Neodiprion lecontei: one gene and its partner. The protein of the gene in region 1 purifies or fractionates together with the protein of each later gene. This does not show direct contact. Links are inferred from orthologs where the notes say so. Each region holds a gene or a part of one and is shown on either strand. Other genes may lie near its edges. The genes, in order: RNA-binding protein 28 and RNA exonuclease 4.

Evidence for each region.
Region 2: the proteins of RNA-binding protein 28 (region 1) and RNA exonuclease 4 purify together in Homo sapiens (affinity purification with mass spectrometry; 3 studies listed by BioGRID and IntAct, with this or other methods). This does not show direct contact. The link is inferred for Neodiprion lecontei from reciprocal best matches to the Homo sapiens genes RBM28 and REXO4.

Annotation. Positions count from the first base shown.
Region 1 is NC_060265.1:7,494,147-7,500,214, reverse strand, and holds RNA-binding protein 28, read left to right. Parts: upstream 1-1,770; 5' UTR 1,771-1,984; coding exon 1,985-2,003; intron 2,004-2,111; coding exon 2,112-2,263; intron 2,264-2,350; coding exon 2,351-2,519; intron 2,520-2,647; coding exon 2,648-2,901; intron 2,902-2,990; coding exon 2,991-3,358; intron 3,359-3,421; coding exon 3,422-3,779; intron 3,780-3,857; coding exon 3,858-4,026; intron 4,027-4,135; coding exon 4,136-4,353; intron 4,354-4,439; coding exon 4,440-4,589; intron 4,590-4,650; coding exon 4,651-5,109; intron 5,110-5,220; coding exon 5,221-5,343; 3' UTR 5,344-5,422; downstream 5,423-6,068. Other genes in the region: uncharacterized protein LOC107219962, read right to left, coding at 1-30, 204-352, 626-732, 1,168-1,295. UniProt on the Homo sapiens protein: Nucleolar component of the spliceosomal ribonucleoprotein complexes.
Region 2 is NC_060264.1:30,467,134-30,471,934, forward strand, and holds RNA exonuclease 4, read left to right. Parts: upstream 1-1,817; 5' UTR 1,818-1,979; coding exon 1,980-2,369; intron 2,370-2,620; coding exon 2,621-3,190; 3' UTR 3,191-4,045; downstream 4,046-4,801. Other genes in the region: probable phospholipid hydroperoxide glutathione peroxidase, read right to left, coding at 203-418, 561-652, 728-837, 937-1,027, 1,214-1,274.

The DNA of each region.
Region 1 (6,068 bases):
GCTATTTGTCAAACTGATTTCTTTGTCCATCTATTTCAAAATTTTATAATATCTCAGGTGTGAATACTTTTCGTTAGTTCACAATTTTAAAATAGCAAAAGGTCGGTGTTAACGTAGCATTAAAAACTAGTAACTGGTTCAAGGAGAAGCCTATCGAAATTTGTGTCAAGTCTATTTAAGTTTGATTTCCAAAGAATACTTACATTGACATTAGTGCCTGCTAGTGCTGGAGACCTCTTCCATACATTGGAAGCTGGTGGCGACAATGCTTCTATTATAGATTCAAAACTCAGTCTGTTGTTACGCTTTTTGTGTCTTGTGAACGTTCTCGTATCGATAGAGCGCCTTGTGCCTGAAAGAACATAAGAATCACGAAACTCATTAAAGTTCAAGAACAAAAAAATAGAAAAAATGAAAGATGATACCTTACATTATTCAACAAGTGAAACCAGCAGAATAGTCAGACTGGTGTTTAATTTATCAGACTATATTAGGAAATACATAAATGATTATGTATGAAAAGGCAATTATATTGCTTCACCTCATAAAATGAGATCATCTTTCCTACTATAAGGTTTAACCGGGAACTGTGTGCGTGGGTAAGTAGGAATGAAAAAAAACAAACCATTCAGAGCTTCATTTTCCTCTAAATCCAATTCCGATCCATCTCCTAACCAGCTGTTTAGATCTTGGACATTGCCCTCCGCCGAACAATTTGCACATACATGAAGCCTGAAACAACATGTTATTTATAGTATCCGTAACAAAAAGCATAAAACCTATAACTCTTCATAAATGTTTTGTTATAATAGTCAGACACTGGGACAGTTATGATCAGTTTCTAATCAGAAAAACCTTTTTGTTTAAACAACTTTACTTTAGTTAGGCATAAGATGCCATTGATTTTCAAACTTGTGTAAACAGTAAATATACAATAATACACAAGCTGTGAGTCATTGACAGAAATGAGTATACACATCAGTGATGAGGTGATTCAACTAGCATGTACACATACATACGTTCTGTTTCGTAAAAGCGAAAGATGGAATAACCTGTTTACTACGCTTAATTTGATAATGATGTTGATGTATTTTGTTGAGTTTTTATAAACGGGATATGGTGTTCGAAAACCAAAAAGTTGTTAACAACAGGGATTAATAAACTTACCATCTCTCATCGTCCGAGAAGTCAAAGGCCGAAACATCGATGATATCGCTTACATCAAGAGGTTGCACTTCATCGACACAATAAGAGTTCGACATATTTTCTGCCGTATTAATCTGTCGCTCCGACATGTACGTTTAACGTTTTAATAACACGTAGAGACAAGACACTTCATTCTACCGTTGTAAATGATACATAAGCGATACGACGGATGGTGTGAAGCCCCGAATGGAATGTGTCTGCAGGCTCTCGCGCACAAGATGATCAACAAAACGTTTAATTGACAATTATTATCTGTTTATTAATAAAGTCTTTGATGCCTTTGAAAAGAGATTCCGAGGAGACGATACAAAAGACAAAAAACATAACCACGGGCGGGATATAAAGAAATAATTCCACCAACACAACAGAACCTTGCACCCTGTTAAGTAAATAAAGAAAACTGTCCAACGTGAAATTGGAAATCTTAAGTCTTAACCAGTAATACCAATCTACTTATTTCGTACCCAAAGTAGACAAAGATAGCAAAAATTTTTCTTTTTAACGACATCTTCAGGCTATACAGGGAAATATAGAAATTCAGTTCTCAAAGTGGTTCTCAACCGTCGCCATTGACATTTTTACGTGAGTGTCGGACACGCTGCGATATAACCTCACAAAGGTTTCTCTCTGCTCACAATATAAACAGTCATATGAAAGAATGTGGACGTCTTAAAGATATTACAGATTGAGATTGTTTATGAGATTAACGTCTTTGATTTCATTGAAATTTATTTAATTCAGCTGCTTCTATTATACTTGGACAGTCATATCAACCACTATGCAGAAATCAGATCGTGGTGAGGAATTTGTTGTTAAATTAATTAATTTTTTTTTGTATATTAATCGATTAAAATTAACTAAATTGCCTCGATTAATATTCATAATACTCGATCTATCAATTCCAGGTAATGGACGAGAAAAAAAATTATCCTGGGCTTATCGGAACAAAAAAAGAATTTTGAAAAACAAACGTGCTGAAGAAGCTCCTGAGGATACCACAAACGTACAAGTCCAAAATAAAAAGGCTCGAATTGTGCTTCGTAATCTTCCATTCAAGGTAAAACTCTCTTTGGTAAAGTTTTTTTCATTTAAGATAAAAAAGTCATCAATGTGTAATAACTTATCACTAAATGGATATTTTCAGGTTACTGAGGATGACATTAAAAAACATTATGCACCGTATGGTGAAATTGAAGAAATAAATCTACTACGTCACCCAGGTGGTAAACTGGTGGGTTGTGGTTTCGTTCAATTTAAAAAAGTAGAACAAGCTTCAAAGGCGATATTCAACACAAATAAAAAAGAATTGCTCGGTAAGACTGAACAAAAAAAAGGACAGTGTTTTTCTGGTTTCATTGTTCAGTAAATTTAAGTCCTCCAACCAATTGCACTATCAATGAATATGAATTGTACATTTACATTATTTTTAATCAAATTTTAGGAAGAATCATCACTTCAGATTGGGCAATACCAAAATACAAATTTGCCGAAGGTATTAAGGACGATGTTGACAAGACTGAGGATCTAACTGATAAAACAGAAAGCAACATAGAAGTTGATACCCAAAATGAAGAGTCTACCTGTCTGTCAAAAACTCAGTTGAAAAAAAATCTAAAGAGGAAAAAAAAAGACAAAGATAGGCTGAAACACATTCAGAAACGAGCAAGGATTATAGTTCGAAATCTATCATTTAATGTGAGGATGAAAATATACTCTTATTTGATTTTAATGATTGTTAGGAAGACATTTTCGTATTAAGTCTTAATGAAATTTCATGATTTTAGATAACTGATGATTTATTGAAAGAACACTTTGCACCGTTTGGCAATGTAGAAGAAGTCACGATCCTAACTAGACCAGATGGAAAACTTGTTGGTTGTGGATTTGTTCAATACAATAATGTTCAGAGTGCAGCTAAGGCGATACATCATTTAAATTTAAAACCTCTGTTGGGTCGACCAATAGTGGTTGATTGGGCTGTACCAAAAACAAAGTTTGGTAAGGCCGATGAACAGAAGGACCCAAATGAAGCGGCAATAGAAGAAGTTGAATTAAAAAAGGAAGAACCCGATGGAGATGATTCAGGCTTGGATGAAGACCCAGACCAAAGTGACTCATCTTTAAAACTGGAAGAGGATCAATCTAATGACAGGCAAGTTCAAGCTTTTATTAATCATGACCAAGTTCCATTAATCATATCTTTTTTTTTTTGCAGGGAGAGTAAGGATGAAAAACCTATTGGTGCAAGTATCGAGGATGAAATTGATGACAAAGAAGATGAAGATGATGATGAGGACGAAGACGAAGACGAATATGAGGATAAAGTGGAAGTTAAGATCTCACCAGATGAAGTCAAGAATGAGAAATTTGACGAGAATGAGGCTTCTCGACCACGCCGAATTTCGAATGACGTTAACGAGGGAAAAACGGTGTTCCTTAAAAATATTCCCTTTTCTGCGACCAACGACGATCTTAGGAAATGCATGGAACAGTTTGGTCCAGTCTATTATGCTCTTGTTTGTATGGACCCCCTTACAGAGCATTCAAAAGGAACAGCATTTGTTAAATTTCAAGTAAGTTGTACACTGTAATATTTTATTAAGTGATGAAAATTGATGTTCATAAATAAACCGGTTTAATACCGTTTACAGCACGTGGAGGATGCAGAGAAATGTTTATCGGCTGGAACTGAGCTACGTATACATGATCAAACTCTAGATCCTCATAAAGCACTGAACAGAAATGAAGTGCAAGATAAATCAGAGCTGAAAAAACAAAAAGCAACTGATTCTAGAAACTTGTACCTTGTCAAAGAAGGAGGTAAGATAATATGAAATTTATATAGATTGGATTGTTGTGCTACATGGTCATTCATTTGTTATTTGGTTTGTGCGTAACAACACGTGAACGATGGATTAATTCCTTACAGTGATACTGGCTGGTAGTCCAGCTGCAGTAGGAGTATCTGCAGGGGACATGGCTCGTCGTTTGCAATTAGAACAATGGAAATCGCAAATGCTACGAAATTTAAATATGTTCGTTTCAAGGGTCCGTCTGGTTGTGCATAATTTACCCGTTTCAGTGGATGACAAAAAGCTGCGAGAAATTTTCCAGAACCATTCTGGGCCAAAAGCAGTTATAAGAGAGGTTATAACCACTTTTCGGTCAGGAGTTAATTTTAAATATCTCTATTTACTTATGACGCATGTTCATATTGGTTTTATTTCTTTCAGGCCCGAGTGATGCGGGATTTACGAAACATTGAGGCCAATGGAATTGGCAGGTCTAAAGAATACGGTTTCGTTGCCTTTACAAGCCACGAAGATGCGCTGAAAGCGTTGAGAAGTATAAATAACAATCCAAAAATCTTCGGCACCACCAAGGTAATTAATTTATATCTGACAGGATCTTGAATAAATAATTATCCAAACTTCTTATTTTCAGAGGCCTATTGTCGCGTTTTCAATCGAAAACAGAGTAATGGTGAATGCCATTAAAAAACGAGTAGAAAAAAGTCGAGAGCGCAATCCTCTGTGGACAGGAAGTAATCTAAAAACTAAGAATGACCGGCCCATGACAAATAAGAGAAAACACGAAGATGGCAAATATTCGGATGACAAGAAAACGAACAGTATTGGTAGGCCGACTGTCAATAATAGAAACAAGGATCGTCGGCCTGCGAAGCATCCTAGATTGGAAAATGGTAATGACGAGGGTGATGTTCAGCCATATTCTGGTGTAACGAGTAAACCAGGAGAGAGAAAAATGCGATCAAGATTCAATCTCAAGTCTCAAGCTATTTTACATAAACAAACTATGAAACGAGAATTAAAAAATAAAAAGTCTAAAGCGAAAATTCAGCAGACGAAAAAGGAACAACGGATCTCTCAAAAAGAAATAAGGGTAAGTCTTAATTATACCTCCCCATTCACATAAAATTTGTGACTTTGTTTTTTAAACGACCTTATTAGATTAATCGTTGGCTAACTCTAATTTTATTAATTTCATCAACAGCCGAAACAGGGTTCAAAGAAAAAAGTGAACAAAGAAGATATAAATTTCAGCAAATTGGTGAACAATTATAAGAATAAATTAATGGCAACGTCTAAGGAAAAATCCAAGTGGTACGAAACATAATAACTTATATTTGAAAAATTAGGATTGCGCCATGTATATAAAGTATTTTTTTTTTTGCGTTAGACTTTGAATTGTAAATTTTTTTTAAATTGAAAATTAAAGACTTTTATTTCACGGAAGTGTATTGTGCTTATGTAATTAATTCGACAACCTTGACGCTCCCAAACAACAATTATATAGATCAATAATACCGCTTATTTATGTAAAATAATCCAATTGCCCAGCCAAATTAATGATCCAGCGCGCCTTATTATGGGCAATCTACTTTTCATTTTTCATGTTCACGGCGCCGCGCTAGTTTGAATTTACTGTATTTAAAACGCCAGGAAATGATCGCCTTTGATTTGTAGGTGACAGATTTTTTCCCTTAAAACGTCACAATAAATTTGAACCATTATAATATTTGGTGTACGCGTACCAGTATTGTTCAAATTTTTATACGTTAAAAAGCGAACATTATGTTGACCCTTTTTATTCTACGACATCTGAAATCGCCGCCGCGTAAGCCCCATTATTACGGATACTACAGTCAAACCATTGTTTAAGAAGTGATAACAAATGAACGAAAAAAATCCTCGAAAGTTCCGTTAACAGAATCTATAACCGAACTAATAAAAACTAAATAAAAGAAATCTTTGCGAAAGGTCAAAAATTCATTCGAAGTCCGGGTTCATAATACTGTTGCGTTGTAACTGGTTAGGAGAATTAGGACATCCAGTTTGAGA
Region 2 (4,801 bases), on another chromosome or scaffold:
TTCGGTATTTAAACGAGATATCAGACAATAATCATACCGGCGGGGGATAATTATTTGAAAAATGTCGATTACGTAAAATAAATTTAGGATTAGACGAACAATGAGATTACCCGTAGCTCAGTACTGTTACCACGCGTAGCAGATGACTTAAAATCTATACCACACTGTTAAAAGGATTAAGAAAAAAAAAAAAGAAAGTAAATTAGAAATATTTCTCGAGGTTTGACGCGAATTTGCTGGGCGGATCCTTTGGACCATGTCGTTCGACAACTTTACCGTCCTTGTCAACGATGAATTTGGTGAAATTCCATTTGATAAAGCTGCCCATGATACCACCTTGCTCTTGCTTCAAGTATTCCCAGAGTGGGTGGGCATTTTCTCCGTTGACATCGATTTTCTCAAACAAGTCGAACTTTACCTACAAAAATAAGAATGAAAAAAACATTGATTATGACAGTTTTTAGAGCACATAATGTCTTCCGATTTCATCAATTTAAATGAAATTTGGACAGGTGAACTGTATCATGAAATCGTTATAAGATTCAAAAATATTTTCCTACATTTCGGCGTTCAGCGAAACTGCAAATTTGTTCACTAGTGCCTGGTTCTTGCTTTCCAAACTGATTGCAGGGAAACGCAAGGATGCGCAGTCCTGTAAAAGAACAAAATGTTATAAATTACTTATTGGATATTAAGTAAAATATGTCAATAGAATCACAATCTTGACCTTTTGTTTCAGCGTATTTGTCATGTAGCTCATTTAGTTCCTTGTAATTTGATGACGTCAAGCCGCATTTTGAGGCGACATTTACAATGAGAAGAACATGACCCTTGTACCTAAAATAACCATTGAAGCACCATTAATACTTTCGTCTCATCATATGTTGCTTCAAATCAAGTTTTGTGAAACGCTCTTAAAAACTTTGTTAAACATACTTGGATAACGGCACATCTTCTCCTTTGATGGATTTGACAGTGAAATCATAAACGGATGTAGCATTTTTGAAATCTTGATTTCCACTCATACCTGAAAACATATTGCTGTTATTGTTGTGGAGTGGATGGATATTTTTCAGAGATTCACAAATTCATATAAAATGCAAGTATTTTTAAAAAGGCCAGAACGCAATGCAATTAATGATTTATGAGGAAAAAACACAGAACAAATTAGAAAAAGCATTATTATAATAGATAAATAAAGAATAAGCCTAACATTGAGCATGTGAGATACGCAGAATTGGTAGAGCTGTGACCCGACTGATGCATGTGAACATGTTTAATTTATTTTCGAGAATTTATTCTCTATTGTGTTCTTTGTTGAGACGTCGTGCGTGAGCCACGGTCTAGAAAAGCAAAAAAGCTATTCTGATTAACCATGTCAAGCATCAGATTACGCAATAGTTGATAAGAAGCTATCCTCGTCATCTGGCGGGAAAAAATGAAGTACCAAACTAGTCTACTGTTCTTTGTGTTGCCGGCGTACAAAACGATTGATTTGATTTAGGAATTCAATTACTGTTCTACTGAATGATTGAAATTGTACGTGTAGACTTTGTTCACCTGTGATTTTCTTAGTATGGTAGATTTCTTAATTCGTCGTCGGAAGTCGATGACAATAAGCAATAACTTCAAGCTTGCAAAATACAAACTAGCGTAGTAAACAGATCGAAACGACAACGGCACAGACAACAATCCTGCAGCTTCTAGGATTACCCTGAAACGCGGAGTACGTATTAATGAGATGGGCGACTACTACTCAGTGATGCCTCGGTGTCCGTAGGTAACGTAGAGCATTGACGATCGACCGAGTGGTCACGAAAAAAAACCTTGAGAAATAACCTCGATCAGTGGCGAATTCCTGAGAAAAGAGTGGCTGTTATGGTTATGTGCCATTATTTTGAAATACCATGCATTTGTACTGATCGTACTGATATACAACTAGCGATCTGCCAAGAGTGCAAAGTTGAGAGAAGGGAGACATGGTAGAGGCGGCTACCTTTCTACCGGTAATTATTGTTGTCGCGTTATTAATTTTGTGCCGTGATATGTTATCGAAGATGATGAAAGATCAGCAGAGTATAACCAGAACTAAAAGAAACACCGAAGAATCAGCAGCCAACAACAAAAAGTCATTTTCGACCAGCAGCGAGTCTAGAAATATCGAAAAACGAATGAAACCTAACCAGAAACCGAGCAACGGGCCAGCACATGGTACCCCAACAACAAATTGGGAAAAATTTAAAGATCTCATAAAAGACTCGGGATCCGATGAAAAAAAAATTAGGACCAATAATGCTCATGCAAAAACTTTTCCGAGGCAGAGGAGGAACTACAGTCATGTAGAATGTACTGCATCCACACCTGCCTCGGTAACTATATCCGAAAATCAGTTTGTTTTTTAATCTAGTCTGAACGATCTCATAAACGTACTACCAGATTTTTTTCTAAATCCACGTACTTTAAAATGCAGAGTCTTTGTGATTTGTTACTGGGGAACATACCCGCTTTGCGAGGAAAATATCTTCTTAATTTTCCAAGATGCTTACATCACTACGTTGTCCTACCATATTATCACTTTACCACCTAAATTCTTTACAGAATATATCAATTTTCATTTCAGACCTTTTCCCCCACCGCTAAATCCAAGGTAAATATCGCAAAGAACAAGACAATGAATCAATTGACAAAACAAGTAGCAATAGACTGTGAGATGGTTGGGATTGGAAACGGAACTGAGAACATGTTGGCACGGGTCTCGCTAGTTAATAGGTACGGAGTATGTGTTTACGACAAATATGTCAAGCCGCGAGAAAAGGTTCAAGATTACCGAACACCAGTGAGTGGAATTCGTCCTGATGATCTTTACAATGGGGAAAACTTTGAGACGGTCCAAAGAGAAGTGGCTGAAATATTGCAAGGAAGGTTACTCATCGGCCACGCCCTCAAGCACGATACCGATGTCTTGTTTTTATCCCATCCCAAGAGAATGATCAGAGATACATCAAGATATAAGCAGTTTAGAAAAGTTTCAATGGGGAATACACCGAGTCTAAAAAGACTAGCTGCAGAATTGCTCGGTATTGATATACAAAGCGGCGAGCATAGTTCCGTAGAAGATGCTAGAACTGCGATGCAGTTATATATGTTGTATAAAAATCAGTGGGAAACTGATATCAGAACTAAGCGGTGAAAAATTTTGTATATTTTCTTTTACTTGCGAATTACAGGTTACGTTTTATTCATGTCGGGCATTTAAGGTATGGCAAACATTTTTTTTAAGAACGTACAACTGTTGTTATTGTATATGAAATGTTGACGAGCTCGAATTTAATAATTTAATTTCAATGTTGAATGAAAAGACTGTTGTAACATACATAAAATTAAATATTGCGGGGTTAGTCACCAGTAACTTTCCTCACATTTTAGTTCCATAGTTAAGTGGTAATCTTCAACGATTAGCTCCATGTATGGGGTGCGTATTACATTCTACTTTTGCAACAAGGTCAATAACGATTTGCAATAATAGCAATCGATTTTACAAATGTGCTAAGTAATTTACTTACTCAGTTACCTACAGTTTTGTTCTTGTCTATTACCGATAAGTCAACTGTAAAGTGAATCATGTAACTGTTTTTTGATGAGCTGGCTTAATCTAATTAGTTGAAAAGAATTCGTACCCCCCTTAGATATCCAATAAAATATTCACATCTGCAATAAAATGCTAACAGCTTTTCTGAATTTCTCTCTGCTGGGTGCTGTCTTGTCCATCACAGACTAATTCCGTAAATACAAATAGGACCTTGATTTGTTTAACCACCGACTATGCAACTATTGTTTCTGTGAATTCGTTTAGAACTAGTTGAGTTGAGATAAAAGAAGAATTTCGAAAGAAAACCATAGTAAAATGATTACTGCCTTGATATATGAGTATTAGATTATGTATATTAACAAGAAGTAAATTATTTCATGTTGAGATGACGCATATTTTCTACGACTAATCAATTATTTCTGTAATTATGGAAAATAAAGTATTTTGTTTATAAAATAATTGTTAGATTTATTTTGCTATACGACAGCTTAATTTGTTTGAAAATGTAATGATATAACAGATAAATTTTGAATGAATAAGTACTAACAAACATCTGTTCGATCAATGGAAGTTAGTAGAGTCACAAAAGGATTTTTCAAGGAAACATTAAATGTGAAAATGATTAGCCGTGAATTTTTCAATGTTGTATACATAAGAAGAATAAAGAAAAATCTTTGTATTCAAACAATGAATACATAGCTCATTTGCTACATTCCCGTATTGGTGATTGCCGTGAGTGAACGACCTTGTTATCAGACACATTCCCTCTTTTCTGGAATGTATTTCTTGCTACTTCCCATCAAACACACTGCAGTCTTCATTGTTTCTACAACCAGCAACGTGGGCAAGAGCATTACTTGTGCATCTGAGTACAGATTGCGCCTTGGTGGAGAAAAGATTGTTTGCTTTCATCAGAAAAATCATAATAATACTTTTTGCGAGCAATAATTTAATGCAAATAGAAGTGAAGTGAAAAAATAAGGCCTCAATTCTTAAAACAGACCAGAAAATTTCATCACTGCTGCATAGGGTAACTCTGAATTCTGAACTTTGCATTTATTTACAAATAAACATTACGACATTTGACCTTATGACTCTTTCAAGTGGGGAATTTTACTCTTCAGGGTTTAATTTCGTAACAACTCATGAATGACAGTTGTATATTACACATATTACTTTTACTCAGCTGCAGTCTGATAGAAAGTCAACAAG